2 linked regions of the Arabidopsis thaliana genome follow. The protein of the gene in region 1 interacts with the protein of each later gene in a biochemical or structural test. Each region holds a gene or a part of one and is shown in the gene's direction. Other genes may lie near its edges.

What was found.
Region 2: the proteins of ACBP2 (region 1) and EBP form a complex in vitro, tested with the Arabidopsis thaliana proteins (one study listed by BioGRID).

Annotation. Positions count from the first base shown.
Region 1 is NC_003075.7:13,843,769-13,859,793, forward strand, and holds ACBP2 (acyl-CoA binding protein 2), read left to right. Parts: upstream 1-3,780; 5' UTR 3,781-4,005; coding exon 4,006-4,493; intron 4,494-4,769; coding exon 4,770-4,872; intron 4,873-4,952; coding exon 4,953-5,056; intron 5,057-5,319; coding exon 5,320-5,411; coding exon of another isoform or gene 5,412-5,416; exon of another isoform or gene 5,417-5,496; coding exon 5,497-5,594; intron 5,595-5,681; coding exon 5,682-5,861; 3' UTR 5,862-6,166; downstream 6,167-16,025. Other genes in the region: FEY (NAD(P)-binding Rossmann-fold superfamily protein), read left to right, coding at 383-606, 730-850, 1,078-1,195, 1,489-1,625, 2,043-2,144, 2,266-2,358, 2,460-2,795; AT4G27790 (Calcium-binding EF hand family protein), read left to right, coding at 6,298-6,784, 6,870-6,972, 7,053-7,118, 7,210-7,465, 7,595-7,720; TAP38 (thylakoid-associated phosphatase 38), read right to left, coding at 8,245-8,365, 8,484-8,530, 8,615-8,647, 8,742-8,796, 8,893-9,009, 9,103-9,156, 9,237-9,316, 9,428-9,538 and 3 more; AT4G27810 (uncharacterized protein), read right to left, coding at 10,873-10,959, 11,400-11,903; BGLU9 (beta glucosidase 9), read right to left, coding at 14,105-14,342, 14,452-14,542, 14,654-14,741, 14,821-14,846, 14,934-15,163, 15,237-15,352, 15,422-15,677, 15,770-15,857 and 1 more. UniProt on the Arabidopsis thaliana protein: Binds medium- and long-chain acyl-CoA esters with very high affinity. Can interact in vitro with palmitoyl-CoA, but not with oleoyl-CoA. Binds to lead ions (Pb). May function as an intracellular carrier of acyl-CoA esters.
Region 2 is NC_003074.8:5,698,272-5,713,768, forward strand, and holds EBP (ethylene-responsive element binding protein), read left to right. Parts: upstream 1-7,269; 5' UTR 7,270-7,512; coding exon 7,513-7,672; intron 7,673-7,910; coding exon 7,911-8,497; 3' UTR 8,498-8,813; downstream 8,814-15,497. Other genes in the region: HEB2 (condensin-2 complex subunit H2-like protein), read right to left, coding at 206-305, 406-592; AT3G16740 (F-box and associated interaction domains-containing protein), read left to right, coding at 1,205-2,380; AT3G16750 (uncharacterized protein), read right to left, coding at 2,874-3,114, 3,200-3,506, 3,706-3,742; AT3G16760 (Tetratricopeptide repeat (TPR)-like superfamily protein), read left to right, coding at 4,942-6,195, 6,636-6,809; AT3G16780 (Ribosomal protein L19e family protein), read left to right, coding at 10,711-10,822, 11,189-11,311, 11,407-11,720, 11,807-11,859, 11,951-11,978; PLDP1 (phospholipase D P1), read left to right, coding at 13,058-13,297, 13,615-13,716, 13,852-13,958, 14,064-14,202, 14,432-14,605, 15,093-15,266.

The DNA of each region.
Region 1 (16,025 bases):
TAACTCAGTGTCATTTCTTCCTTTCATTTTGCTTAAGTTTGGAGCGACTCTATTACTCTTTTGTCTACGAGATCAGTAATGCTATGACCGGTTGCATAGTCACTACTAGTCAGGACATTCACAATTACAAAATAGAAATCATTGTAAACATATTTATGAAACACATTAACAATGTGTAATCGTTGACCCATGAGTCCATGACCGGTCAATTGAAATTGTTTATCTTCTACTTGTGGGTCACAAAAATCTCGCCGGCCCATTATATATATTATCCGGAGCTTCCAGGAGTTGAGGTTGTGAAGCCATAGATATTGACGAAATACACTTTTTGTCTTTTTGTTGCTGTGCAACGTCATAGATCTAACTCCGGAAGAAGAAGAAGATGAGTGACGAAACGACGTCATCTCCGTCCCCAGCTCCGGCGAAGAAGAAGCAGAATCTGGGATGGATGGAGTGGATGAGGGGATGGAGCAGTGTTTTCGGGGAGATTCTCTTCCAGAGGATCACAGCTTCTCATTTGGAGAATCCTCTTCCTCTTCCTTCCGTCAACGACCTCACTTGCGTTGTCACTGGCTCCACCAGCGGCATTGGCCGTGAAACCGCGAGGTTTGTTCTCTTCCCCGTTTCTTCCGATTTACAACCAAATTGAGTTTGATTTCGTCTAGATTGGGACTCGAATTACTGAAAACTTCCCTAAGCTTTTTAGCTCTTTTGCTTCTTCGGTCGCAGGCAGCTTGCAGAAGCTGGTGCTCATGTTGTGATGGCCGTAAGGAACACAAAGGCGGCTCAGGAGCTGATACTGCAATGGCAGAACGAATGGTCTGGTAAAGGTCTCCCACTCAATATTGAGGTAACCTTATAATGGTGATGTACTTATTACAATTCAGTAATGTGTATTACTGGGACTGAAATTAGCCAAGAATGAGATAAAGCGTTTTGTACAATAGAAATTTCAAATAATATGTGAACTATCTAGACTGTGGCTAAGCCAATTTCTTGTATATTAGTTAGAGAGTTAGACTATTGGCTTGTAACGTCTAGATAGTTGATAATAATACTCTGTTTTATTTTGTAAAGGCAATGGAGATTGATCTACTCTCACTGGATTCTGTCGCGAGATTTGCTGAGGCTTTCAACGCTCGGTTAGGACCTTTGCATGTTCTGATTAACAATGCTGGGATGTTTGCTATGGGAGGTTGGTTTTATTGCCGTTTTAGCTATAAGCATTGAGTTTCCCCTTCTGTTGTTTCCTGTATCTATTTTCATCATCTCTTTGTTATGATCTCAAAGTCATACTTGTGAACCAATCATCATCATCATCAACATTCCAACTTGATGGACCCAATTGGTGAGAACTGGCATGTTCTTTCATAGCAACTCTGTCCAATGGGTCTCCTTTTTAAATGATTGGTTGTCAGATGCTACATTTTCTGCAGTATGTGTTGAGGAAAAGTAACCTTAAAATGCTCTGTTCTCTGATTTGTGCAGAGGCGCAAAAATTCTCAGAGGAAGGATATGAGCAGCACATGCAAGTGAATCATTTAGCTCCAGCGCTGCTTTCAGTACTTCTTTTGCCGTCTCTGATCCGAGGCTCTCCTAGCCGAATCATTAATGTGAATTCCGTTGTAAGTTCTCTATGATCACTGATACTGCAGGCTCCAAGTCTGTATTCTCTAGTTTATATTCTCTTTGGTATGAGTAATCATGTTGACAGGTTGATTTGTTTGTGTATTCTGTAACTTGAAAACCTCTGGTCTTGTCAATTGGTTGCAGAATATGTAGATAACTGATATAGATCTCTCTAAATCACTGAACTACATATGCATATTGTATTAACACAGTCTTGGTATAGAGAAACGATACAACCATAGCTTGTTGAAAGTTTCAACCCCAAATACGCTTCCATGACTGCACTATGTCATTACTCATTTCAGAAGAATTCTGTGCCTGGCTGTTTATGAAAACTGAAACAGTTTATATTTATTGTCTTTGATTATTACTTTTTCATGCAAGATAATGGGTTGTGGGATTCACTTTTGTAGATGCATAGTGTCGGTTTTGTTGACCCGGATGACATGAATGTTGTTTCTGGTAGACGTAAGTACTCAAGCCTTATAGGATACTCAAGCAGCAAGCTTGCCCAGGTGAGCTTACAGTAATGACATCTGCCGTAGTTTTCATCTGCCGTAGTTTCCATTTTCTGAAAGAGGCTTATTTTCAGAAACTGGTGAGTTAAGTCTCGCTCTCTGATCTTCCATCTTCCAGATTATGTTTAGTAGCATTCTTTTCAAAAAGCTTCCTCTGGAAACAGGAGTCAGCGTCGTATGTCTATCCCCTGGTGTTGTCCTAACAAATGTTGTGAGTATTAGCTTCACTTCATTTCGTTACAAGTGCAGGATTCCTCTGTTTTCTCAGAAATTCATTGCGTTGAACTGCCTATTTCTTTCCGAAATTTACAGGCCAGGGATCTATCCAGGATTCTTCAAGCTCTTTACGCAGTGATACCTTATTTCATATTTTCACCCCAAGAAGGTTGTAGAAGTTCTCTATTCTCGGCCACAGATCCTCAGATTCCAGAGTACTGGGAAACACTAAAAAACGATGATTGGCCTGTTTGCCCATTCATCTCTCAAGATTGCCGCCCTGCAAATCCTTCCGAAGAAGCACACAACACAGAAACTGCACAGAGAGTGTGGAAAAAGACGTTAGAGCTGGTGGGTCTTCCTCTCGATGCAGTTGAGAAGCTCATAGAAGGGGAAAATATCCAATGCCGGTATGGAGCACAACACGAATAGTCTTTCAAAATTACCACAGGTTAAGTGACCCATTACAGATCAAAGGGTAGGTAATTGAGAAAATATCTTTTTTTTTTGTTTCCTTGTATTAATCTACACGATACAGTGGGGAATGAATCCCCCAGGCATGTAGTTTGCTTGAGAATGTTTGATTGTTGGATAAAAGTCAAGCTTTAGCTACCATTCCATTGCTTTTACTTACAAGTCTTGTTCAAGTATTTGGTTAGTGTGTCTTGGAGTTATTAAGATGTTCAGTAGTAGAGTATGGTAGCCTGGGTTGGTGGGTAGTTTCTTGTTTGAGTTTAGGGTATTTTCGTAATTTTCTTTATTGTTTGTGGAGTCACGTTGCTCATATATAGTTATAGGGATATATATCAATTAGAGTCATCATCTCTCTTACTCTCATGGTGACAAAGTCACAAAAGTGATAAACTCTCCTTTCCACTTTCTAATGTTTCTTGCTTAAATGAGTATTCCATGTAAAAATGATTCACTCACTCGTATGGGTGGGTTGGGTTTTCTCTTCATGAGATGCTCATTTGAGCAAGCAATGTTTGGAAGTGGGACTATTTAATATCATGTATGAGTTTTATCTTTTGTTATAAGAAAAAAAGTTGGGATTTCATTTTCGTGCCCACTTCACGTGAATCTAATGCCTTCAAGTTTGTGGTCTACCTTATTTTCTCTTATGGATACATGTCAATTTACGTGTCGTATGAGTCAAGCCTTTAATCATCCCAACACCATGCACGTCTTCTAGATTTGTTTTCGACCACGATTCCACCACAAAATTTGACATTGTTATTGAATTCATTAACTTTTTTACGTGTTATTGTGAAATATTTATTTAATTTTGTTGGTAAAAGGAGCAAAAAAGATTAGGGTACAACACGTCGACTTCTTCCCCAATTAGACCCATATGTGATCTGTCGTCACTCGTCGCCAAGTTTTTTTATGTGTCGTCTTTTAAACTTTGATCCAATTCATTAAAAAGTCTTAACGCCCACAACGAAAAGGAACTTCTCTTTTTGTTTGGTGACTGAATCGGTGGAAAACAACACAAGTTTGTTCCTTTTTGTCTCTCCAGATCCCTTGGCTTCCTTCTTCTTCTTCATCCTCCTCGTGAGACTCTGTGTTGAAATTTCTCTAGGGTTTTAATTATCGGCGTTGGTTTTTCGTTTTTGAGAATTTGATTTCGTTTTTAGAAATAATGGGTGATTGGGCTCAACTTGCTCAGTCTGTGATCCTAGGTTTGATTTTCTCTTACCTTCTCGCTAAGCTGATCTCGATCGTCGTCACGTTTAAAGAAGACAATCTCTCTCTTACTCGTCACCCAGAGGAGTCTCAATTGGAAATTAAACCGGAAGGAGTTGACTCGCGACGTCTCGATTCCTCTTGCGGTGGTTTCGGTGGTGAGGCGGATTCGCTTGTGGCGGAGCAGGGTAGCTCCCGAAGTGATAGCGTTGCCGGTGACGACAGTGAGGAAGATGATGATTGGGAAGGCGTCGAGAGCACGGAACTCGATGAGGCTTTTAGCGCCGCCACTCTTTTTGTGACTACCGCCGCCGCAGATCGGCTTTCGCAGAAGGTACCGAGTGATGTGCAGCAGCAGCTTTACGGATTGTATAAGATTGCTACGGAAGGGCCGTGTACTGCTCCTCAGCCATCAGCTCTCAAAATGACTGCTCGTGCCAAGTGGTATCTCTCTCTTTCGTTGAATCTGCTGTGCCATTAACTTCTATGTATCATTTTCTGGTGTTTTTGTTCAACTGTTTGAGATTTGATTTGAGGTGGAAATTTTTGAGGTTTTAGGTTCTTCATAGACAATCACCTAGTTTGCTTCTTAGCTTATGCAACTGCTGGACGATGATGTGGTTTTTACTGTTGTAACAGTTGATTGTATATGGAATTGTGGTTTGTTGTAAGATTGCAATTTCATTGATTGGGATGTGCCATGATCTTGTTCTATCTCAGGCAAGCATGGCAGAAACTGGGAGCTATGCCACCTGAAGAGGCGATGGAGAAGTATATTGAGATTGTCACTCAGCTTTACCCAACTTGGTTAGACGGTGGCGTGGTATAAAGCTTTTTCCCCTTTTCTTTGTTTGATTGCTTCGGTTTCTTCCTCTGGCCTGTTCATGTGAGCTTCACTAACAGAAAGCCGGAAGTCGGGGTGGGGATGATGCAGCCTCCAACTCAAGAGGAACCATGGGACCAGTTTTTAGCTCTTTGGTTTATGATGAGGAGTCCGAAAATGAGTTGTAAGGTTCTCTTCTTGTATTCTCATGTGTTTTATATCCTGATCCTTGCGTTCATGTCTAGATTAGATATAAGTATCCTGATTTGTGAAAGAGGCTCATAAACTCGGTGAATATGTAACATTACTGTCTCGTTCTAGCTGTAGCAAATTTTGATGGTGAAATGGCTACAATTGTCTCATGGAACTTTGAGCTGTTCGTTTCTTCCTGTCTATCTGAATGAAACACTAATCCTCTGCTCATTGAACTTTTGTTTTATCTCTCAGGAAGATTGATGCCATACACGGATTTGCTAGAGAAGGAGAAGTCGAGAATTTACTGAAAAGCATTGAAAGCGGCATTCCTGTAAATGCAAGGGGTTAGTCTCTGCTTGTATATTCCGTTTCTTGGAAGTTCATTCTCGTGATGTTGGATCTGCATTCTAATTTTCCCATAAACTGCAGACAGTGAAGGTCGCACACCATTGCACTGGGCTATAGACCGTGGCCACCTCAACATCGCCAAAGTTCTGGTCGATAAGAACGCCGATGTGAATGCTAAGGTGACGAAAGAGAAATTCCTACCCAGTCATTATCTGCAAAGTTAGCAACTTCTTTATTTATGTGTTTTTGGTTCTTGTGTTGAACAGGACAACGAAGGCCAAACCCCTTTGCATTATGCTGTTGTATGCGACAGAGAAGCTATCGCCGAGTTTCTGGTTAAACAGAACGCAAACACAGCCGCTAAAGATGAGGATGGAAACTCTCCCCTTGATCTCTGTGAATCAGACTGGCCCTGGATCCGAGATTCTGCAAAGCAGGCAGACTAAACAAATACTAACCACGTCTTCTCTAAATCCGCAATGTATATGATCAAATGACTTAGTAAGAAGCTTTTCTTTACTTTAAACTTTCTTTCCATCCCTACCACATCACTGGGATGTTCCAACACTATATCACTTGGATGTTACCAAGTCTTGTTCTTTGATTTCTTTCTTCTTACATTTTAACAATCTTTTGTTCCTTTAGGCTTTATGATATGTCGTAACCGGTTTTGTTGGTTTGCTATAAATACACACATATAGACAGAGGAAGAGTCATTGGATCCTCAACGAATAAATAACCGACTTTGGCGGCAAAAACGGTTGATAGAACATAATTTAATGATTTAAGGAAAGCCCCCAATAAAGCAAATACAAAAACAGAATTAGCAATCTTCGTGGCCCTTTCGTCTTCTCTCCCTACCCCACCTTGGACTACCGGAAAATGGCCAAGGTGGTGGTTTACACGATACTAACCGCCACCATCATCTTCCTCATCCTCCTCGCTCATAAGAAACAAAACCAGACTCAATCCATTGAGGGTCTCATAACCCGCCGCATCGGACGGAGGCTTGAAATGCCGGTGTTTGACCCTTTGGTGACCCGGATTGAGAGGTTGTCTCATGAGAAAGAAGCTGGTACGAAGACCGTGGAGGCTGCGAAAGAGGAGAAAGATGATATGTTTGAGGAGTATTTTGCACAAGAGAGAAGGCTTAACACGACAATGAGGATCAAGTTCTTGTTTCCTCTGCTTGACGCGTCTCCAAGAGATGGCTTTGTGAGCTTGAAAGAGCTTCAGACATGGATGATGCAACAGACAGAAGACAACATGGTTTACAGAACCGCCAAAGAGCTTGAGCTACAAGATAAGGACAAGGACGGTGTCATAACTTTCGAAGAGTACTTGCCTCAATTCTCTAAACAAGACATTGGTAATATATTAACTTGTCTTTGATCCTTCGAGATTTTTCTTCTTCATTATGCAAATAAGAAAAAACAATGATAATATGGAAACAGAGAAAAACGAGAAGGGTCACGGTGAAGCCGGTTGGTGGATGGAGCAATTCAAGAATTCTGATTTTGATCATAATGGCTCTCTCGACATTGAGGAGTTCAACAAGTAATTAATATGCCTTGAAAAATCTCATCACTTTTAAAATTTCCGAAAATAAAAAATGAATGAAAATATGGGATTTGCAGTTTCTTGCACCCTGAAGACAGCAGAAACGGAGATACACAAAGATGGGTTCTAAAGGAGCGAATGACGTAAGCATTTCGTGATATATCGTGTTTCGATATGATCATAAATGAAGCTTAACTAGGAAACAACATGTTGTTTGATATATATAATATATAGGGGCATGGACACGAACGGTGATGGGAAGCTAGAGTACAAAGAGTTTGTAAAAAATGCATATGAAATGTATAAAGAATTCGCAAAGTTCGAGAAAGAGGAGGATGAGAATGTGCCAACACCTCAGCTTCTGTTCGCAGAGATGGACAGAGACAAAGACAGATTCCTCGTGGCCGATGAGCTTCGACCCATTTTGCAATATCTTCAACCTGGTGAGATGAGTTATGCCAAATTCTATTCTACTTTCCTTTGCCACGAGGTTAGTCTCTCCCAACCTAAATCTTAATCTTAAGTTTTCTTTCTCACAACTTTGAAACTCATTAATAGTGGATGTATATGTATAATGCTTAGACTTTCAACGTCCAATAAATTTTAATTATTTTGTTAGGCGGATGAGGATAAAGATGGTAAACTATCTCTTGAAGAGATGTTGCACCACGAAGATGTCTTTTACAAGGCAGTTCATCACGAAGACTTGGACGACGAAGACTATTTTGATCATGATGAACTCTAACTTTTGAATTTGTTTTCCTTCAAATTTTAATCATAATTTTTTTTTGTTCAATTGACTTCTTAATTCATCTCGTCTAGAATGGGTATGTTAGATTGTTAGGCAACGAGATTACATGCACAAATTCCACCGTGGTTGCGTTGATAGTTGGCTTTTGAAGAGTCCACAATGTATATAATACAATGTCAAGATTTTTTTTTTTTTTTTGTGATATGATAAACCAGAGAATGTCACAAAACAAAAAGAATTATAGATGCCTAAAGAAAATATCAAGTAGCTAAAAATTGGAACCACCAACTGTGGCATGAGCCATGCGTTTCTTTTCAAAAAATTTCTCTTAGTCGTTGGAAGATGCATTTATTTGTAAATGTAGTTTCAACGCTTGTGAAAGTGGGATATATAATAATATAAAGCTGGTTCTGTTTGTGAGGTATCTTCATATCTCCATTTCTATGGGAAGACTAGAGTGTTAGACATAGTTACAGGTTTTATATACACTAACGAAAGAGATAGAATGTTCAATTCACTTAAGATAGATGTGAAGACATCCATATGCCAACAGTAACTAAACCGATAGTCGTTGCAGCCTGAACCAGTTCAACCACTACGTTTTGTCGCTGCGCGGGGAGATTCTTCCACTCTGTTCTTCTGTTTATGCAAAAATCGAAACCAAAACACGTTAAGAGTATATAGATTGAATAGCTAATAGATAATGTATACAGAGGTTTCATATAGCAGTGGAACTTTTGTTTAGATGAACCCCTACCCTAGATCAGCAATAATGATGCTAATGTTGTCCTGAGATCGCCGGTCCTGTAACGTTGGAACAAAATCGTACATTTGAAAGTTTTGATTCCTAATCAAAAGAAAGGCTGAGGAGGGTATTAGCTATTTTACCAAAGCTACTTGCGCAAGAGATTCACAAGCAAGCTGTTACATATGGACAGTTAGGAAACTAGTTAAGCCTTAAAGTCATACATGATTATTGAAACTAATTTGATAAGAAGATGAAATAAAAACTTGCCTGCACATTCCCATGTTTCCGGAGCTGATCCCTAACATAACTAACCACATCTGAGCTGTATTGGCAAAACATTGATCACTGTAAGCTCTATACTTTTCCCAATTAAAAAGCATATGACTGAATGGGGGAAAGAGGAAAAAGAAAAGGAAACCTCTTCATGTAGTCCCATAATCCATCAGAAGCTAAAATAATGAATTCCACATCAGATGTCAGAGGTACTTGGAAGATATCTGGAGTCGCCACAACCATGTCCCCTTTAAACTCGATTCTGAGAATTTATCTCATGAGAAACAGATATCCTTGAAATGGAATAACAGGAGAGACGAGCAAAAGTAGAAACAGCTTCCAAGTAGTTCGTTACCTGGAAACAAACTTCTCGGACCATCTTCCTTCATCAACACCCTTCTTTAACATACTGTGTATGAAACCCTTATGAGCAATGAGATAACAATTATAAAAATAGAAGAGCCGTTGTGAGAAGAGAAAGAACCCAACTCATTCTTCTTTGTCTTAAACCGGATGTCACCAAAAGCACGAGATACAGCTATGTCTCCACAAATCCTTCCATTGACAATCTGATTATACAAAAAGCAATGAATCGGTTTTAAGCCAAATTCTCGGAGAGATAGATAAGCAAATCCAATGATACTTGAGGAATTTGAAACATGGAAAATAAGAAGACACACCCATCCACCTGCTTCTTTGACCCTTTTCACTTCCTGAATAGCTGCTCTACTGCTTCCATATGGACGGTGATAATCAGTCAATTCCTCGATTTGCCCAGATCGAGATAAGACCTATTTCAATGCATTAACAAGACTTTAGACATGACCAAGTTACAATGATCCATTTATAAATAAGAAGACTTACTGCACACGAATCACCAATATGAGCAATGAAGGAAACATCATTTCTGATGATCATTACAGTGGCTGTTGAACCTGATTCATCTTCTTCGTCACCGTTAGCTTCTAGCCTGGATCCAAACGCATGATGAATCACTTCATTTCACTCAAAATCATCAAAATTCATTCAAGCTCTGAGAAATTTAAGCTCATTTTCACCATTTGAGCAAATTGCGGTCAACGCTTTCAAAGGCCTTAATCAAAGCTTCCTTGATTGCTGCGAAATCGCCTCCATTCAACAACGATCCAGCTTGCAATGCACCAACACACTCTTTATACAGCTCTTCCCTATCAATCATCATCACCATCGTCAACACTTAAACCCTAGAAGACAGAGCTTGCATGAGAAGCAACACAAGTTACCTGAGGAATTTGACAGAGGACGACCCAGCGTGGCCGTCGAAGACCGCTGCGTAGGAGAAGCTATCGACAGCATCAGAACGGATTACGATGTCGTCTTCCATCTCATCTCGGAATCCTTGAACACTCGTGTAACCCCAACGAATCGGCGTCACGCCAGTCAGAGACGACGGAGCGTCGATCGCAATCGCGGAGCAACGGTGACGACCATACGTGGGATAGACGACAAGGCCACCGCCAGCGTCGGCGGAAGGATAGGCTGAGTGGCGGAGAGTGTTGGAGTGAAAGCGATGAAGATGCGGCCTCAGAAGCGCCATGACTCAGTGAGTCAGGCAAAGCGAGTTAAGTAGAAGAAGAGAAAAATCAAAAGAGTGTCCTTTACGGTTAGTGGCCGTGGATTTTCGTAAAAAAATATCTGAGGATAAGAGAAATCAACGCGGGCTTCTTAACTAACTTAACGGTCCACTTTATAAGTTTTGGGCTTAGGCCCAAATCGTGATCAATCAACTTTTATAGCTTTCCTTTTCAGGAAAGTATTATTGCTGTCGCTAGCAACTGCAAATAGAAAGGTCATGTAGTTATGTTTTGTATAATAAATTTTTGGTTTTGCATAATGCTCTTGTCCTCCTTCATTTAAGAATTAAGATGTTCCCTATTCTTTTACCTTTTTCAAGTATAATTACAATAATCCTATTTATCTAGAGGAACAGTGTAGTTTCAGGGTTTAATTTGGTAAAAAGTTAAGAATAAACTTTTCCTCATGTCTGTAAATTATGTGGTAATATGTATACAGATGGATATTAATATTAGTCTATAAAATTAACTAAAGATTTAATGATTTATAAAAGAAATCGAAGAGATTTGATTTAAATATTGGAAGAACTCATCCGTGGAAGATTCTCTTGTCTCCGCCTCCATGGGATCACTTGCTTAAATCCTTGGTAAACCCTTGCCTGCATTTTATTATTATGTAATCAAAATGAGCCTAAAAATGAATTCATATGCACAAGCCGAAAAAAACAAAGCATATTGAAAAAACACTCCATACTATATAGAGTAACCAAAGACTTTTGAAGGGAAAACCTAAACTTTTTAATCAAAAGGGACATTTATTCAAATCCCAAAAATGTTGAAGTTTTGTTTTGAGTTAGAAATCATTGAATAAAGTTTGAAATTTTTGATAAAACGGTTGGTACTTTGAACAACGTAATAATGTATTTTCCTTTTTTTGATAACGAAAATTATAGTGTTTGCAATTCTGAATCATCGACTACCTTTGACTACAAAAGAATACGATTAACTTGCTAGTTACTAGTAAACTACCCGGTAAGAGTGTGTAATTAGACAGCTAAAAATAAGATGTTAGAAAAGGTGATGAGTGTTCAAAACTTACCAAGAATTGCGATTTGGAATGAGAGAGATTCAAGAGGCTTCCTTTTCTTCTAACTCTACTAATCTTCACCGTTGTACCGCCGCCACCGTCGCAGCAGCGGCTATTGGTGGAACGTGAAAACTCGAATCTACCCTCAGAGGCTCTTTCGCTTCTCCTTATCACTGATAAAGACCGGCGAGGTACATCGTAAGGCCCATCAAGAACTGTGGTCGGAGATGGCTCATCATCGGCTGGAAAAAATAGCCTCGGCGGAAGCTCAAGGCACCGCACGACTCCTCCTCCTCCTCCTTCTCTTTCGTTCTGCTTGGAAGCCAGCGGTTTGTTCTCATCAGAGACGCGAGGTTTTCCCGGAGCTTCCTCCCATAGAAAAGGTACTGATCCAGCGATGTTCACAGGCGGCGTCGCTAGCCCTGGAGTGTCACATGCTCTGTTAAATGGAATCGAGAACAAAGGAAGCTTAGGAGTCGCACAAAACCGTTCTTGATCATCAAATTCAAAATCCATCGCCTTGTTTTTCTGAATAAGAAACTTTCTTTGACGTTATATGAAATGGGTTGGGATTTAGATAGATAGAGACGGTATATTTTGGTTTGAGTTATATGAACACAAGAAAAGGGAAAAGAGAGGATGAATAATGTGAGGAAGTGTGTAGTATTTTATGAAGCTGAAAGAGAAAAATGAACAAAACGCTCCTTGTGGCGCTTCTTATTCACGAGAGTGATCCCAAAGAAGAGAAGAAAATATAAACAAAGTGGGTGGGTGGTCCTACATTACGATTTTCCTAACGTTGGGTCCTTTCAAATTTCATGTCGAGCCTTTATTGCCTATAAATAATACCATTATTTATTGTTATTATTATATAAAGAAAAAAACAATGATAATCAGAGCTGCGATAGTGGTAACAATAAATAATGTATATAAATCCTGAAGAAGTCTTCTTCGTCGACAAAAATAAATTATCTTAAAATAAACAGAGGTGGGTCGTTGTAGGTTTATCCTCGAATCTGTGTGTTGTGGACCGTAGTTATGCCTAAAGATGTAATACATGCAGTAGTATATAAACTGAAAACAAAAATGTAATATAGTAGTTTTTTCATCTAGTTTAGTCCACATTATTTGCTATCTGTAAATCTGATTAATTGTCCATCTTTATCTCAAAACAACGAAAACGAAATAGCCTTTCATACAAAAAGAGAGTATCAAGGCTGTATTTGATGGATATACATTAAACAAAAATGGGTGAAAGTGAGGAATGTGCTACGATAAAGGTCAAAAGGCTGCTCTTGTCGTTGCATGAGATATGTATGAGAATAGTGAAATGATTTAATCATGGAAAAAAGGACGGTAAAATTAAACAGATTTAGAAGATATTAGGCTGATCATGTTATCCTTGTGAGCCCCCATTCAAGTTTAGATACTTCAATGCATCTATAGTCCATGCATGGCCTGATAAGAGATGCACATAAAGGTAAGATAATGTATCTATAGTCCATGCATGGCCTAATTAGCAGGACTGTGAGTTGAATATATGTATTTGATTAGATTATTGACTTGATGATGTGTAACGTGCTCCGTTTGACCGTAATCAAGGGCTTGCTTTATTTGAAGAGACCAAGAAATATCATTTTTTTTAAAAAAATCTTCGATTAATTTCTTTTGTGCAAGTATAAAAATTGTAAAATATATGATAATCAATTGAAACTGAAAGAATAATCAGTTACAAATTTCAACCAAACCTCTAATAAAGTAAAAGAATTGACTTTTTTCCATTAAACCAAACTAACTATTACGATCTACGACCCATAGTCTTCTTTAGAACGTATGAGCTTTGGTAAATGAAATTGACCGGGACTAGTGTGTAGTGAAGTTTTTTCAAGTTTTGGATTTCTTGTTCAGCTTGGACACGGTATTAATCTATTTAGGAGTTGGTGTGTCTGCAATTTTTTTTATCAAAAACAACAACAAAAAGAGTCGAATTTTGTTATTTGTGAACCAAAATTGATAATTAAGTTTTAAAAGGTCGTGACGTTGGTAGTATGTTCACTGATCATCGAAGAATATACAAAGATATTGCACTAGTGAAGCTCTAATATACAGTACTGTTGCTTATAGGGAAGCCAATTTTTTTTAAAAAACAAAGGCGTTTCCACCGCTCTAACAAAAAATTTGGTCTAGTTGAACACGCCACTCAAGCATGGGATGATCATTCTCATTTTATACGTTTGACCTAACAACGATAAAAGTTACAAATTTCTAGGCAAATTATGATGTTTATAGGTTTCGGATTCATACGGCGTTTTCTTACAATAATATTATTGTATTCCAAAGTTGGCGTTTTCTTACATAATCCTTCTTCTTCCACTCGCGAAACGAGACAAATATGCATGTGAAGAAGACTATCGAAATATCTTCTTTTATTTTTCGGCGAAGTGTAATCCTTGTGATGCAACTGACATATACATTTCCAAATGTAACTCTTATATATGTACTAGAAATTTAAGTTGTTAATGTCTTTGTGACTTTTATGGTTGTGTTCGAGTGTCATTATCTATTTTACTATCTTCAAGAATCAATGGAACACTATTGGTCTCAAAAGTAACATCATTTTTATATGCAAATCTTATCAAACCATTTGCCAAGTTACCGAGATGTTTCACAGTATAAATGAACTCAACCAAACAAGGATCCTTTGGCTAAAACATACATTACAATGAAGAAGAGACAGAGAAGTTGCTCCACAACTGAATAGTATCTTGAGAAGCAACATCAATTGTACCATTAAGGAAACCAGTGTACCAAGAAGCAGAGAGCTTTGGAGTCCTCTTGCGACCAGGATCGCTGAAATTCACATGGTACATTCCGAAGCTGGTCGTATATCCACTCAATATCTCATACACATCAACCATCGACCATACAAAGTAACCTCTCGTGTCCGATCCATTCCTGATTAGTCACAAACAGAGAGAGAGAGTTAAGTAATACTGGAATTATACCAATCAATCCTTATATAGTAGTAATATGGGGACTAAAAGATGCAGAAGGAGAATCATACTTCATTGCGTTGAGTACAGCGTCAATGTAAGCTTGAATGTATTCAATTCTTTGTGTGTCTTGTAGTGTCGAATCGCGTACCATCGGCATACCTGTATTTTATTTTATTATAATTGCAAGTTGAAGAATCTTAAAGAACAAGAAAGTGTGCTTTCAAGCAGACAAAGCAGAGTAAGAAAACAAAAAAGAATGAAGTGTTGTACCATTTTCAAGAATATAGACTGGAGGATTGTTATAGCTCTGCTTTATATACTCAAGAATACCTTCAAGACCCCATGGAGTAGCCTCCCACTTCAAAAAAAGCAACTGAGTTAGGAAAATCACGAGATTCAAGAATATAAATGTGCTATGCAGATTTGCATGACCTTACCACAAGAAATGAAGAATTCCCAGTGGCTATCCAAAGAAGAAGAATTCTTAGTTAAAAGAGTTCATCAGAAGCATTTTTATACTGGTTAATGATGAAAAAAACACTAATCTTACGAATTATATATACTCCCATGTCTTTAAAGAAGCCTTCACCCATGCTGGGAAAGAGAGAAGCTGAAGGTTGGTGGTTTGTGACATAGAATGTTGTGTAATGAATAATTCCTATAAAGTCAGATGATCCTTTAACTTGCTCTGACTCTTCCTCTGAGAAAACTGGTAATCTCGATCCCACAGTTTTCTTCATTTCATCCGGATAGTCTCCAAATACCAAAGGCTTCAACATCCTGAATTTTCATAGTGATCTTCAGATTTTTTCCTCAAGTTATTGAAACATAGAAAGAAAGTTTTTTTTCTCACCAGCCATATAAGAAAGTTTTAGCTCTTTGAGTTGCGATTTCATCATCCTTGGAGTTTGTATATGGAGATAACCCGAATGCAAATATACTAAGCCCTATGGATCCTTTCTGCTTACTCTGCACCATCATAATGAACTACGATCATACGAGGTTCAGGTTTTAAGAGCAAAAAATGTGTGTATATACCTTGTACTTTAGTTTATACAACTTTGAAGCAGAGGCATGAGCTAGCAATATGTTATGGCCTGCAATATATGGTTCTGTAGAAGAATTTCCAGTAGAACAATTGACGAATTTATTAGGAGAACAATGTCCAGGCGGCGCGGTTCCTTGGTCATAAGAACCAATGGCGAAAATTGTAGCTTCGTTTATTGTAGTCCATAACTTCACATCCTCCCCAAACTCTCTGAAGCATACATCTGCATAAGCAGTGAAGTCTTCTCTGCAATATAAAAAACAAACAACATTTTTTTACTTACAATTCATATAATTAAAAAATGACATTGTTAGAGCAGAATCTTTTGTATCCTTTACATGATTTTGCGGTTGATCCATCCGCCGTACTCATCTTCAAGAGACTGAGGAAGATCATAGTGGTAAAGTGTAACATGTGGTTCGATTCCTGTTAATAGTTTTGCCAAAAAATTATATTTAGAAGTTATGAATTGGCTATAGTTGCGATTATATATAAAGACCAAAACCTCACCATGGCTTTTTAGGTCTTTGATGAGATTGTTGTAAAACAATAGTCCTTTTGGATTAATGAGTCCTCTTCCATCTGTCACAAAGA
Region 2 (15,497 bases), on another chromosome or scaffold:
GGAAAAAGATACGTTTTTTAGATTCAACCATGGTATAAATTTTCTTCATTTGTGAACACAAAACAAAACCCATCCACATAGAAATAGATGGAATCAAAGTTAGCCCCTAAACCCTGAGATGCTTGGAGTATCTAACACAAGTACTAATGTTATTATTCTTGTTCAATTTCACTAAGGAAAAAACAGGGAATCTAAAAGGACAAACCTTTGCTTCGATAGAAACTCCAACGTACGTAGAACTAAATTATACAAGTACTCAACTTTCTTGCTGTAAACCTGAACCGAACCCTGAAGCAGCAAAGCAGCTACAACAAAAATCGAAACCCAATTCTTAATTACCCAAAAAATGAAATAGCTTGACATCAAACGAGAAAGTTCTGAAATTGAAGCAAAACCCACACAGACCTTCAGCGAAATTCACAGGAATTTGCCCATCTTCTTCATTTCCAGTGATTTCTCCGGAACAAATTTTGAGGAGGTACTCTTCTAGCTTCTCCGACAAATCAACTTCCCAATTAGCCACCAAATCCCTCTCCGGCTGTACTGTATGAATCCTCTCGCCGCGGACTTCCCCGCCACCGTGACTGGTCATTCTCGGTGAAGACTCACGGAATTTAAGCTTCTATATGGAGAGATTGGATAATTCATATCCCTAATCCCAAACCCCCAAAAAGAAAAAGCTGAAACCCTAAAAACTCTGAATTGGGATTCCAACTATAAAGAGAAATTTCAATAGAAATATCTGATTTTGTGGTGAAATTTGAGAAATTTTTCTGGGAGACGAAGGGATTGTGCGATGTAACACGAAGATTTCAAGTGATTAGTGAAGATAGAAAGGAACTGTGAGAGAGAGAGAGAGATTGAGAGTTTTGGGAAAGAGAGATACGAATTATTTTGACTTCTCTAGATTTTCCCGCTTCTCATCAAATGCAAATAGTGTTACTATTGGGCCTAATTAATTTGGGCTGTATTGAGACTTTAACAGGCCTTGGACCCATTACTAATAAGTCAAAAACTTATTACCAATCAAACCCCACTTATGTGGGTACTTTTGGTCGGATGCGGAAGTATCCGTCCTGATGATGATGAAGCCAGATAGATTTTTTCTTTTTCAGATGGAGTAAATTAACACAGTCGGGAAGCAATCGGTGGAAAAGGAAACAGCTTTGGAAGGTTGATTCCATTACAGATTCGATTCGAAACTATGGTTCAGATTTCCGATCTTCCACGGGATTTGACAGAGGAGGTGCTCTCTAGGATTCCGGTGACATCTATGAGAGCAGTGAGATTTACTTGCAAAAAGTGGAACACCTTATCGAAAGATCGGAGCTTTACAAAGAAGCACCTGCGTGGAGCAAGAGCAGCAGCAAAGAAGAAGCAGACGAAGGAGTTTCAGGTGATCATGATGATTCAATTTAGGGTTTATTTATACAGCGTCAACCTCCTTAATCCATCAATAGAGCGTATAGGTAAACTTATTAGCCTAGACGTTGAAGATCATGTCGACATATCTAAAATCTTTCACTGCGGCGGTTTATTGTTATGTATCACCAAAGACATATCTAGGCTTGTGGTTTGGAACCCTTATTCTGGGCAAACAAGGTGGATCAAACCTAGAAATTCTTACCACAGATTGGACAGGTACGCTTTAGGATACGAAGAGAAGAACAAGTCGTGTCGTTGCTACAAAATCTTGAGATTTATGGATGATTACGAGGATGACAGGGCACTGCGCCTAATTCGTGAGTTTGAAATCTACGACTTAAACTCTGATTCATGGAAGGTTGTTAATGTCACTCCCGACTGGGATGTAGAGTTTTATCACCGTGGCCTGTCTCTCAAGGGGAATACTTACTGGTTTGCTCAAGAGAAGCTTCCACCATTACCACGCGGAAGAGTGATAACAATATCAGATATGGCTGATTTCTTACTCTGTTTTGATTTTACAAGGGAGAGATTTGGACCGCGCCTGCCTCTGCCTTTCCACTCTTTTGTTGAAGATACTGTGACTCTATCCAGTGTTAGAGATAAGAAACTTGCAGTGTTATTTCAGCCATGTAGTGCATCTACCGTGAAGATATGGATTAGTCGCAAGATTGAGCCCAATGCAGTGTCGTGGAGGAAGGTTTTCTTAGCGGTTGATATGAAATCACTCACTGGTTTTCAGTTTGACATTAACGCTGCAAGTTTCTTTGTTGACGAGAAGAAAAAGGTCGCCATGGTTCTGGATAAAGACAGGTTCAGTTATAAATTTACTCGCAACATAGCTTACATCATTGGGAAGAAGGGGTACTTCGAAAAAGTGGATCTTGGAGAATCTACAGTTTCAAGTTGTGCCTCACTTGTGTGCTCTTACGTTCCAAGCTCAGTGCAAATCTAGCAAGCTTCACCACGAGGCAACCAATCGATTCAATTGTTTTCTTTTCTTATGTATCTGATTTGTCTTGGAGATTTTTTATCTTTGTCTAGTTGTTGTGCCCAGAACTCTAAGTTCCGCCACATAGTTTTTCCAGACTAATAACTTGTTAGAGGACAGAGCTAAGCATACCTGACCTGAACACAAAATTATAGGGGAATGAAATTGGTTTCTACCTCTGCATGTCTCACCATGAAAAGCTCATCATCGTAGATCATCAGGTCTGCTTTAGCTGAGGGATGGACTTGTGTTTTGCTGGTATGACATGTTTGAACATTAATTTGGAGATAACCCTTGTGTGACATGGCCTGGAAAGGGTTATTATTAAAAAGCCAACTTGGTAAAAATGAAAAGAGTTTTTACATCTCCAAATTCAACTCTTTACTTGCAAGAAAAAAATCTGTTGGTCAAGATGGAATCTTTCCCTTCACTTTTGGAATACCGGATGCACAAAAAGTCAAAAACCATTAGCATGAGCTTCTATATTATCATCTCCGGCAGATTCATCATCACTACTGTGACTCTCATCATCACTACTGCCGTCATCATCATTACTACTGCCGTCATCATCACTAGAGTCATTATCACTGTTGCCAAGATTTTGCGAGTCTTCAGTGTCCTCACCACTGTTGTGACCGTAATCATTGTCGTCACTCATATGATAGCGTCTGTAGTGTACCACCCGGTACGTCCCATAGCTACATTAACACAAGTAAGTCAACAAACGTTCACTAAAACAATTTAATGAAACAAAAAAGAAAAGAAAGAAAAGATATTACTTACAGTTGTTCACATTTGTAGACTCGTCTTTCATAGGTGCTGCTGACTCCCTCGTTAATGGGAACTAAAAAGCACTGGTCAACTCTATACCGTATGTCGAAGTCTCCATGCATTTTGTTAAAATTGGTTAAGTCCCAGACTGTAGTATCTAGCACATCTTGCTCATCAACATCAAAAAGAAATAACCCTTCTTCAGGGAATGGGACGGGTACAGTAGAGGTAAGTAAATCTTCACGTTTGCCGAGTATGTTCCTTAAATCCTCATGGTCCAACCACTCTGTTCTGGAGCGTATCAAGACATCCTCAAGATCTGAAGAAATTGGCGAGAAAAGAGAGATAGTAAGGCTATTCAGATATTTACATTCGCAGACCTCAAGCTTAATGATCTCACATTAAACAATCAGCTAATTACAGAGATGTAAAACAAATCAAATTACGGGAAAAAGAACAGATCCAGCATAATTTCCACACAACTTGTCAAACAATGAAAGAAGAAAAGGAAGAAGAACCTGGATCATCTATCACGTCCTGAAGATTATTAGCCATGATTCCGACGTAGCACGAAACCTGATTATATACGAGCCCTGAACCCGCCAAACTCTGCACAAGCCCGAAGAAAACAGCGTTAATGATCGTAGAAATTGATTCACCCGAAACTTGAGGATATCTACACACAGCATAGCAAATACACAAGTTACCTTGAAGCAAACACGAGGGACTTAATCGCTGAACCCCATGGATCTGTAACTTCTGCAATTCCGTCGCCGATTTTAGATTCTAACCGATTAGAACCTCGATTCAATGAATGAAATCGTCAATTGAATACTCTCTCCTCTCTCAATCTCTCTGTGAATCGATATGAGAAAAGAAGAAACGGAAAAGAAACTAAATTCCTCTCTACTGTATCTGTAACCCAAGAATACCAAAGGAAATAGTTAACTCTTAATCCCATTTCTCACACAGGCGCTTTATATATAGAGGTTTAACACTCGACGACTCTAAATTGATTTCAGTTACAAACGGTTGGAATAACTAACTAACTCTCGGATAAGATTTCTTCTCTTCTCTGAACCCAGCTGCTTCAGCTTCAACTAAACATCTCGATAACTTGATATTGAAGAAGAAGAAGACATAAACGACGCCGTCGCCCTTGTGTTTTGGTTTTCTCCAATTAACCCTTAACCAGCTCAATTTCCGGTTTACTCATTAAATTCAAACCGAGTCTAATTAAACCCTGTTTCACATCAGCTTCATATATTATATTTTACCCATATTTTAAACTACTTTATCTTTTTATATACAAATCAATGAAATTTTTTTATTCGTACTTTCTCTTTTGTATATACAAACAAAAGCTTTAAAAAAAAAAATACCAATTAAAATTTTACTACAATAACTTTCTTTTTGCAAAACAATTCACTAAATGCGCACAAAAAAAAATGTAATGGTAAAATTTGGGGATGAATTGAATGAAAACTTAAAAAAGAGGGGCATTTTTGTGAAGTTCCATTTTGTTTTCTCCCCTTCGTTGGCTCTGGAGTCTGGACAACAACGCTAAAGGAGAAATCTCTAGATCGCTTGTGGATTCGAAGAATCTCTCACGGTCGGTTCTTGACGACGGATCAAGCTCTATTCCTCTAGTATCATCTAATCCATCGAGCAATTCTCATTTTGATCTTCCGTTTTCATCATCTTCTGGAATCAATTTTGCTCTTGTTAAATCTGAAAGTTCTGAGGATAAAATCATGAATTCCAACTTCGGGAAGAGATCATCCGGATCGACCAATAGCTTTGATTTCGATCTGGGGCTTGGATCGAGCCAAGGTAGACCTCTGAATGGTCAGAAGAGCCAAACATCTTCTTATTCGAGCTCGAATTCGCAGCCGAGACCTGCGTGGCAGCCTGGTAAGCCGTCGTGGACGCATCAACCTGCACCGAAGCAGAGTACGATCCGATCTGAGATCGGAAGTGGACCGACTTCAATGGTGGGTGATATTCATGGTAAGACGTGGGGGTCAGCTTCGGGATCGGGTTCGGGTATTGGGATTGTGAATAAGGATCCTAGTTTGTTTGGAGATTTGGTTGGTTCTGCGATAGGTCAAGGTAAATCTAGTAGAAACGTGCCGTTGAAGAATGCACCGCCTGTTTCGGCTTCAGGTTCGAGTAAGAGTCCTTATTCTATGGGGAATTTGGGTGATTCGTTGCCTAAATCTGGTAATTCGATGAAAACTGGTGGTGGTATGGGTTATAGCAGTAATCCGAGTGGTTTTTCTGGTGGTTACACGAGCTCCGGTGGTTTTAATGCTAATCTTGGAGGTCCTTCAATGAAAAATATGGCTGGGGGCAATCTAAATGGGTCTGGTCTTCCTTCGAATAGTGATCCATTTGGTTCTTTGGTTGGTTTCGGATCAAAATCATCAGGAAGCAAACCAGGAAAGGTTAACAACAATGCACAGAATGATACTTTTGGGAATTTTCAAGGAGTGTCGAACCTTAACAGTGGCGGTTCTACGGGAACAACTACTCAAATCAACGACTTTGGGGGTTTCCAGGCTTCGAAATCAAACACATTCTCATCAGGAGGTAGCTTCAATGCTTCAAACGTTGATTTTGGTGTGCAACCAAGTGGTCCACAATCTTCGAGTGCAAACGATGATCCATTAGGAATGTTCTCTAATTCCAAACCCTCAGCTGCACCACCTACGCCACAGACCGAAGATTGGGGATTTGAAAGTTTTGACGGTGGGGCTGGTTCCACCACCGAGCTTGATGGTTTGCCACCGCCTCCACCGGGTGTATCAGCTACATCAGCTAAGAACAAGGGCATTGATAACCAGAGACAAGGTCAGTATGCTGATGCCATAAAGTGGCTCTCTTGGGCTGTGATTCTTATGGATAGAGCTGGTGATGAAGCTGGATCAGCCGAGGTTCTTTCAACAAGGGCTTCGTGTTACAAAGAAGTTGGAGAGTATAAGAAAGCTGTAGCCGACTGCACAAAGGTATGTTAAGAAAGGCACATTTTTCTTTGGATGCATCATGGACCATGGTTCATATCATTCTCATCTCAGATCCTTAGTTTACGAAGTCTCTAGTTGTATTGGAATCAGTTTAAGGACTCTTGATGAAATTGATACTGATAAGAGTTTTCAGGTATATGAAACTTGACAATATGAGATTTAGGTTCTTATGGAATCTTAAGATAGATTACGAGTTAGAAATACTGTGCACGTATAGAAAGTTTTAGTGTCTTGCTTTGTAGGAAAATATACCACAACTAAACAGTTCTTGGGATCGCGTCATCGTAGCTAGTTGATTGGTTGTTATGCTCCATAGATGGTTTCTTGTAGACTCAGAACAAAACCAACATCTTCGAAACTTGTTCTGATTGTCAGTTATGCTTCACAGATGTTTTTTGTTCACTTTGAAAACGTGATTGCAGGTACTTGATCACGACAAGAAGAATGTGACCATTCTGGTTCAACGAGCACTGTTATACGAGAGCATGGAGAAATACAAACTCGGAGCTGAAGACCTAAGGATGGTTCTAAAGATTGATCCCGGGAATAGAATCGCTAGAAGTACTGTTCACCGCCTAACCAAAATGGCTGGTTGATCCTTCATATATACGGATACTACTCAAAGAAAAAAAACAAAAAACCCTCAAATATCTATAATCCTTCACATTGCTTTGCTCAATACCGTTTCCTCTCTCATCCATGGACCATGCGTGTGTGTATTTTTTTTCTGAGATTTATTGGTTCGTCTATAATGCGGCAGCTTCTTGTAGTAAGTGGGTCATGAGTGTATTTTTTTGGATGGTGCATTTATATGTTGTTGATTTTCTTACACACTAATTTTTTTTGAGTTTATCATGAAATGTTTGATCATCGATGTCATATGAAATGCCAAAGATGACCGTAAATTTCGCATCGTAACTCGCAAAGATGAACCTTACTTTGAGACGCTGCCTGCGTGATGGACGTGAGACGCATAACGCATACTATTAAATTACCAGACGCTCGTGGACACAACACTTCAATACCGAAAACTAAACTAATCACATTGTGATACGTTTTGTATTCAGAGAGCCAAAAAAAGGCTTACAATTTTGTCGTTATGTGGATTAGCCTTCAATTTGTTGTAACCGTCATGTATCAAGGAACATAAAACTATTAGAATTATTATTCTAATATAAAGTAATTCATTTCACTCACACTTTATTACCATAAAACATTTATTTTGCGCCTATAAAGGCATTTCAGCTCCACCGTAGGAAACTTTCTCTTGAAAGAAACCCACAGCAACAAACAGAGAAAATGTGTGGCGGTGCTATTATTTCCGATTATGCCCCTCTCGTCACCAAGGCCAAGGGCCGTAAACTCACGGCTGAGGAACTCTGGTCAGAGCTCGATGCTTCCGCCGCCGACGACTTCTGGGGTTTCTATTCCACCTCCAAACTCCATCCCACCAACCAAGGTATGTACTCTCCTATTAATCATAAACAAAAATACAAAATCATTCAAAAACACAAACATATAGTTTTTTCTAACCTTTTTAGCAAAAAGGTAAAATAATATTTCTGGAACTTACGGAAGATGATAAAAAAAAAATATTTGTGGTTTTGGTAATGTAATTTATCAGGATTATTTAATTATCTGTGTGGGGTTAAAATTGTAAATTTTGAACTTTGGGGAATCCGGTGAAAATTTTGAAGTTAACGTGAAAGAGGAGGCAGTGAAGAAGGAGCAGGCAACAGAGCCGGGGAAACGGAGGAAGAGGAAGAATGTTTATAGAGGGATACGTAAGCGTCCATGGGGAAAATGGGCGGCTGAGATTCGAGATCCACGAAAAGGTGTTAGAGTTTGGCTTGGTACGTTCAACACGGCGGAGGAAGCTGCCATGGCTTATGATGTTGCGGCCAAGCAGATCCGTGGTGATAAAGCCAAGCTCAACTTCCCAGATCTGCACCATCCTCCTCCTCCTAATTATACTCCTCCGCCGTCATCGCCACGATCAACCGATCAGCCTCCGGCGAAGAAGGTCTGCGTTGTCTCTCAGAGTGAGAGCGAGTTAAGTCAGCCGAGTTTCCCGGTGGAGTGTATAGGATTTGGAAATGGGGACGAGTTTCAGAACCTGAGTTACGGATTTGAGCCGGATTATGATCTGAAACAGCAGATATCGAGCTTGGAATCGTTCCTTGAGCTGGACGGTAACACGGCGGAGCAACCGAGTCAGCTTGATGAGTCCGTTTCCGAGGTGGATATGTGGATGCTTGATGATGTCATTGCGTCGTATGAGTAAAAGAAAAAAAATAAGTTTAAAAAAAGTTAAATAAAGTCTGTAATATATATGTAACCGCCGTTACTTTTAAAAGGTTTTTACCGTCGCATTGGACTGCTGATGATGTCTGTTGTGTAATGTGTAGAATGTGACCAAATGGACGTTATATTACGGTTTGTGGTATTATTAGTTTCTTAGATGGAAAAACTTACATGTGTAAATAAGATTTGTAATGTAAGACGAAGTACTTATAACTTCTTAACTGTTTTGTGGTAGTCCTGATTCCTGAAACTAATGGGAATTAGTTTGTATATCAAACAGGGGTTCCTAACTTGTTATTATTAGGTTAGGTGGAATAATTCTAGGGTTTTTATTGACAAAAATTAACAAATAGTGGTTTTTATGGAAAAAGGTGATGGTACCAGTATAGTGGGAATACACAGAAGAATTTGCAGCCTTTCTCAATTCTTATACGTATAATTCTCGTATGTCTATGAAAAGGGTTATACGTATGATGATTTATGAGTAGTGAGTACATACATCTTTTTCACTACTTTACATGTAATATTTATGGAAAAGGTCTGATCCGTTTGCTCTATCGAGAATTGGAATTGTGAGATATCTTGATTTTAACAGTTTCAAGATTAATGAAGAACAAAAACAATGGCAACAACTTACAAATTAACATTCGGAAGAAAGAAAAAAACTTACAAGTGAGATCAAATTTGGATTTAGTATTTTAGATGTAAGTTACAAATATTTCATAAACTAATAATCTATTAAAAAAAAATTATTCATTGTATTTTACTTTATACCGTAACCTAAACAATAAAATACAAATTTATAATTGAAGGATTTTAATTGTTTAAATTACTCTTTCTACCATATTTGTTTTTATTTCTTTAAACTTACTCTTTCTACCATGCCATTTAATTATTTTTGATTGCAAATATTGTACGTACCTTTCAACTGTGAACTAGTATTATCCTTATCCCTATCGTTTCCCAAATTTCGTCTTACGTATAGTATTAATACATGCATGTGATTAAATAGAAGATAAGAAGATGTTGATGTGTTGAGACTTAAGACTTTGATGCATGAACCTCTAAAGCCTAGTTGGTAACTTGGTATAATAAGATTTGAAGTGGGTCCATAAAATGTTTTGAAGATTGACAGAATCTATTTGTTTCGCGATATTGTCTATTTCTTTGACGTTTTAGAGAATCATTAGTAATTTAATTAGTAATAAACTAATAACTAAGCGGCATCTTTTCGATGTGATAACCAAAATCATATAATGATGCGTGTCTTAGACTCTTCGATACATATGTAGATAAGATAGCCTAATAAATCTCGATTGGTTTCTAAAATTTGTGTTTACTTCATGTTATAAATAGTAAACACAATACTAATCGAATCATGATATTCACGGTTACGACAATGAGTTGACAATCAGATATACTTCAAAAGAATTGTGGTTAATACTAACTAATATAACTTGTTCGCTCAATCTATATATATAAATATATAATCAACCTTCAATATTATGAAACCAGATGCTTATATATATCTACTTCGTAACATTTAATCATTTATCATGCATTCAGGCTGATCGTTTACGGTTTACCCAAATTCAATATATGGAAAAGGTGATGGCATAGTGACGTTATTCAAATAGAGTAAGTGAACTTAAGTTAGTTCTCTTGCATAGAAATTCGAGCATGACATTATGTTTGAATTTTAATTAAAACAAACTCTTATGCAAGAAATTCGTTGTGTTATGTTATGTCGTCAAGAAATCGTAGCCGACAGTATACCATCTCTGTGTGGTTACTTTTCTCAAGCATCCCCAAACTTTATTCTTTTCGATCCCCCACTTGGAATTATCCAAAATGATTCGCATTTATTTGACTTGCAATCAAATAATGTAATCCGTGTGCGTATTGTATATATATTTTTTCATTGTCAATGCAAACGTTATTGTTATTCATCAGTTTTCATAAATGAAACAATAATGGGCCAAAGTAGGCCCATTTATAAAGCGAACGGGTCGAATTATCAAAACATTTCTGTGTAAGTGGGTCTTAACGAAATTGGAGTGGAACTGAAATTAGACCCAAAAACCCTAAAGAATTGATATGTCTTCGATTTATAAGTAGGTCATTTTTTTTTGCCTTAACAAAAAAGCCCTAAACGGAGAGAGGCGGAGAGGAGAAGGAAGACGGCGTGAAGCAATGGTGTCGCTGAAGATCCAGAAGCGGCTCGCCGCATCCGTAATGAAATGCGGGAAAGGAAAAGTTTGGCTCGACCCCAATGAATCGGGCGATATCTCTATGGCCAATTCCAGTAAGCTTTCAATTTTTAATCTCCCACCAATCACTTTATCTCTATTTGTTTTATAGATTGTGTTTTACAGAAACTCTGTTTTAGGGAGTGATTAGAAACGTATAGATCATTTTCTGAACTAGGTTAAGTACTGAGTCATATGTATGAATGCATTTCTAAGTGTTGAGGCCTTATGTAGTAGTAAGATTATTCCTTAAGCTTCGTAGAAACTGTATGGGAATGGATTTTGTAATTTCTCTATAAGAAATTAAGTTTTCAGATGGTGTCTATCTGTTTACAAGCATAGAGTAGCCATCTAGATTCATGCATTTGTCTAACAGTGGTGTTGATATTATTCTTAATACATTATTGGATTATGTGAAACAGGGCAGAACATTAGGAAGCTTGTGAAGGATGGTTTCATTATCAGGAAGCCTACTAAGATCCACTCACGTTCTCGGGCTAGGGCTTTGAACGAGGCCAAGCGAAAGGGTCGTCACTCTGGATACGGTAAAAGGCCAAATGAGCTTTTCCTGCTTGAAATTCCTTTTGATTATTGCTGGTTTAGTGAACATTGTCTTTTGTATCACTTCAATGTTTTTTAGGTAAGAGAAAGGGTACAAGAGAGGCAAGGCTACCAACCAAGATTCTTTGGATGAGGAGAATGAGGGTGTTGAGGCGTTTCTTGAGCAAGTACCGTGAGTCAAAGAAGATTGATAGGCACATGTACCATGACATGTACATGAAAGTGAAGGGTAATGTTTTCAAGAACAAGCGTGTGCTTATGGAGAGCATCCACAAGATGAAGGCTGAGAAGGCTAGAGAGAAGACTCTCGCTGACCAGTTTGAGGCCAAGCGTATTAAGAACAAGGCTAGCAGGGAGAGAAAGTTTGCCAGAAGAGAGGAGAGATTAGCTCAGGTGAGAAGAAATTTACAGGCCATTTATGGCTCTCTGTCATTTTAGTTTTGGCGTTCCCTCATTAATAATACTGTTGGCAATTTTAGGGACCTGGAGGTGGAGAGACAACGACTCCTGCTGGCGCACCTCAACAACCAGAGTAAGAAACTTTGTTCTTTGTCTCTTTCCTTTGTCCGGTTTTGGGGATTGAAGTTTCTTAGATTTATGTTGGGATTTTGTTGTGTTTTCAGGGTAACCAAGAAGAAGTCGAAGAAGTGATTTGGTGTTGAACTTTTTTGCAATTGAATCTTTGAGTTTACCTGTAGAAGAAGCGTCTTTTTTTTATCTTTTATATGATTTTGTCGGAGATTCTTTTCTTCAAAAATATTTCTTATGTTATGGATCTCATTGCTTATTATGAATTTCTCAGTTTTGTTTCTCTTTACCTTTTCTCTTTCAATAGTTTCTGATTCCATTGTCTTAAAACATCAAAGAAGTTGAGTAGTATCACACTTCCCAATTTTGGAGTTACTTGTTCAACCATGTATTTAACAAATATGTAAATCCCAATTTGATTAACTTGAGAGTTTAGTATTGGTTTTGACAACAACAAAAATGATTTCTAATGAACTGTCTACATGTAATTCAAAACAAGGTGTAGAATGTATTAAATTCAAAAGATTTTTATTGAATAAAGGTGGGGTAAGCTTTTTGTTTTCCCCCAATAATTAATCTTGTATAGCTTTGATTCTATGAATACGTGGGGTAAGATTGGTGGCCAAAAAAATAAACACAGTAGCTAACCATTGATTTGAGATTTGATTCATAAATATCTATATCAAAATTTCTTAATAAAATTTTAGATGATCTCAAACAAAGCTATATAATAAGATAATTTGATTATGTTTTCTACATAGTATAAGATCACTGATTTGATTAATAAATGTTAAGAAAATAATATATAGCCGGATCCGGTATCGGAGTAAACCGGGAGAGAGAGGTCAAAGTCGACGTAGACGTAGACATAGTTCATGTTGTTCACTTTGCTTTCTTCGTGCACCTGTATATCAAAAACCAACACCGTGTGTATTCCTCTCTCTCTCTCTCTCTCCCCGACTTTTGAATTTTCCCTCAGATTTGTCTTCCTTTGTAATCCATTTTCGCTCTGGATCGATCTTCCTACGATTTGGTCTTCAGATTGATCGGTTTCTCATCGGAATTCCCGGGGGGGAGTATAAGCATAACGAAAAGGATCAAACTCAGGATCAACGCGACGGGAGAATTGGAGATTTTTTGTTTGCTAGATCTTGAATTGAGCGATCGAATTGGGTAATTGGAGGTTTGAAGAGATCAGAGAAATGGCATCTGAGCAGTTGATGTCTCCCGCCAGTGGTGGTGGACGCTACTTTCAGATGCAGCCTGAGCAATTTCCTTCGATGGTCTCTTCGCTCTTCTCTTTCGCGCCGGCTCCTACGCAGGAGACTAATCGTATTTTTGAAGAATTACCAAAAGCAGTGATCGTCTCTGTCTCTCGCCCTGATGCCGGCGATATTAGCCCTGTACTCTTGTCTTACACCATTGAGTGCCAATACAAGCAGGCGAGTCCATCTCTTCTCTTTAGTAGGTCTTACTAATATCGTCGCATAATAGATGCTTGGATCAGAATCACTTAAGAGGAGATGGGTATCAACTGTAAATTGTCATGTCTGACTATTGATCGAAGTAGTTCTTTTGGATACCTAGCTTGAATCTGATACCACTGATCGATGTTATATGTCCTTTGGAAGCCCGGAACAGAGACATATTTATCAATATTTATATGTTTCACCTTAGTTTAGTGGAAAGGCTGCTTATTATAGTGGAGCTTTCGACTTTTGAATACTTGAGTCCTAACTTTAGCGCTTTTATGTAACAGTTCAAGTGGCAGCTTGTGAAGAAAGCATCTCAAGTCTTTTATTTGCATTTTGCATTGAAGAAACGTGCTTTTATTGAAGAAATTCACGAGAAGCAGGAACAGGTTTGTGGTGACTTGATATATCAAGGAATTTTCTTCTACTAGTTTGTGATTCCCTTTGAGTGAATATTTTAAAGGTTTTTCCTTGGTCTGTTGAATTGAGTTTGATGTGGTTTTCTTTCGAATATCACATTAAAGGTTAAAGAATGGCTTCAAAATCTAGGAATAGGGGATCATCCACCCGTTGTGCAAGATGAAGATGCTGATGAAGTTCCGCTACATCAAGATGAAAGTGCCAAAAATAGGTCACACTTGCTGGCATTTTTTTTTGCTTGGATAAGTTGCTGATGTGAGTCTATACTCTTCCAACAGATGCCATCATTTTCTGACAAGTAGACTGTTTTGTTCAGAGATGTTCCTTCGAGCGCTGCTTTGCCAGTCATTCGTCCTTTGGGAAGACAGCAGTCCATATCAGTTAGAGGAAAGCATGCAATGCAAGAATATCTGAATCATTTTCTGGGGAATCTTGATATCGTCAATTCACGGGAGGTATATTTGTAAAATCTATTTCACTTGGTTGTTCAACTACTTTAAAATTGTTAATACCTAGTTATGTCAAGGGTTGTTTTCTCTTCTATTCTAGCTAGAAATCTTAGTACAGCAAGTGACTATGCGAAAATTTCCATGCTTTTCAAACTTGTATTCCTGTACACATTGATCGTCATTCCATTTCCGAGGCTATATGCATGCATAGTTAAATGCTAAATGCCTAATATAGGTTTGCAGGTTTTTGGAGGTTTCGATGTTGTCATTCTCACCAGAGTATGGGCCCAAATTGAAAGAAGACTATATCATGGTAAAACATCTACCGAAGTTTTCAAAGAGTGATGATGATTCTAATAGATGTTGTGGGTGCTGTTGGTTCTGTTGCTGCAACGATAATTGGCAAAAGGTATGAAAATTCTCATTTTCTTGCTCATACTCGCGTACTATGTATTTTGCTATGAAAAATTGGTTTACCTCTGGAGTTAACTCTGGGATGACGTGTATGCTTTGTTTATGTGTTCTTTTGTTATTCTTGTCCGCTCTCCTACTCTTGCTTTGTCTCTGAACTCGTTGAATGCCATGAATAGCTTATGTATCAGAAGAAACAAAATTCATCTTTAGTAGTTCTTTTGTAATGATTTTTTTTTGTTACTACTCTCACTGGAGAGGTGTTCTGAAACAAACTTATCTGAATGCTTCACCACCGTTGGGAGATATTAAGTTGATGAAGTAAATTGTTTTTCTAACTCTACTTTAGATCCATATGTTCTTCAATGTATGTGCCATCGAATACTGTTGTCTCCTTTTATAACTTCTGTCTTTGCTTCTGATCAGACATTCTAAATTAATGTGACGACAAGATGGTATCTAAGGTTTCTTTTTCTCCAGTACAGGTGTGGGGGGTACTAAAGCCAGGTTTTCTCGCCTTATTGGAAGATCCATTTGATGCGAAGCTATTAGATATAATTGTTTTTGATGTCCTACCAGTTTCTAATGGAAATGATGGTGTGGATATATCACTAGCAGTAGAACTGAAGGATCATAATCCTTTGCGGCATGCATTCAAGGTCAGCAATTACTGTCCTACTTATCTTTTAATCAATTATATGTGTGCTTACTCCATCTAAATAAGCTTTCTTGATCATCTTTTTATACAATCCTCCTTGTTTGATAATCTACGATGTTGTTCTTTTATGCTTCATTGCTTCTTAGAGAAATTAAAATAAATTGTCCAAGTTATATATCCGAATTTTATTTCTATTACGCATGGACACTAATGCGCCGTGGAGAACTGATAA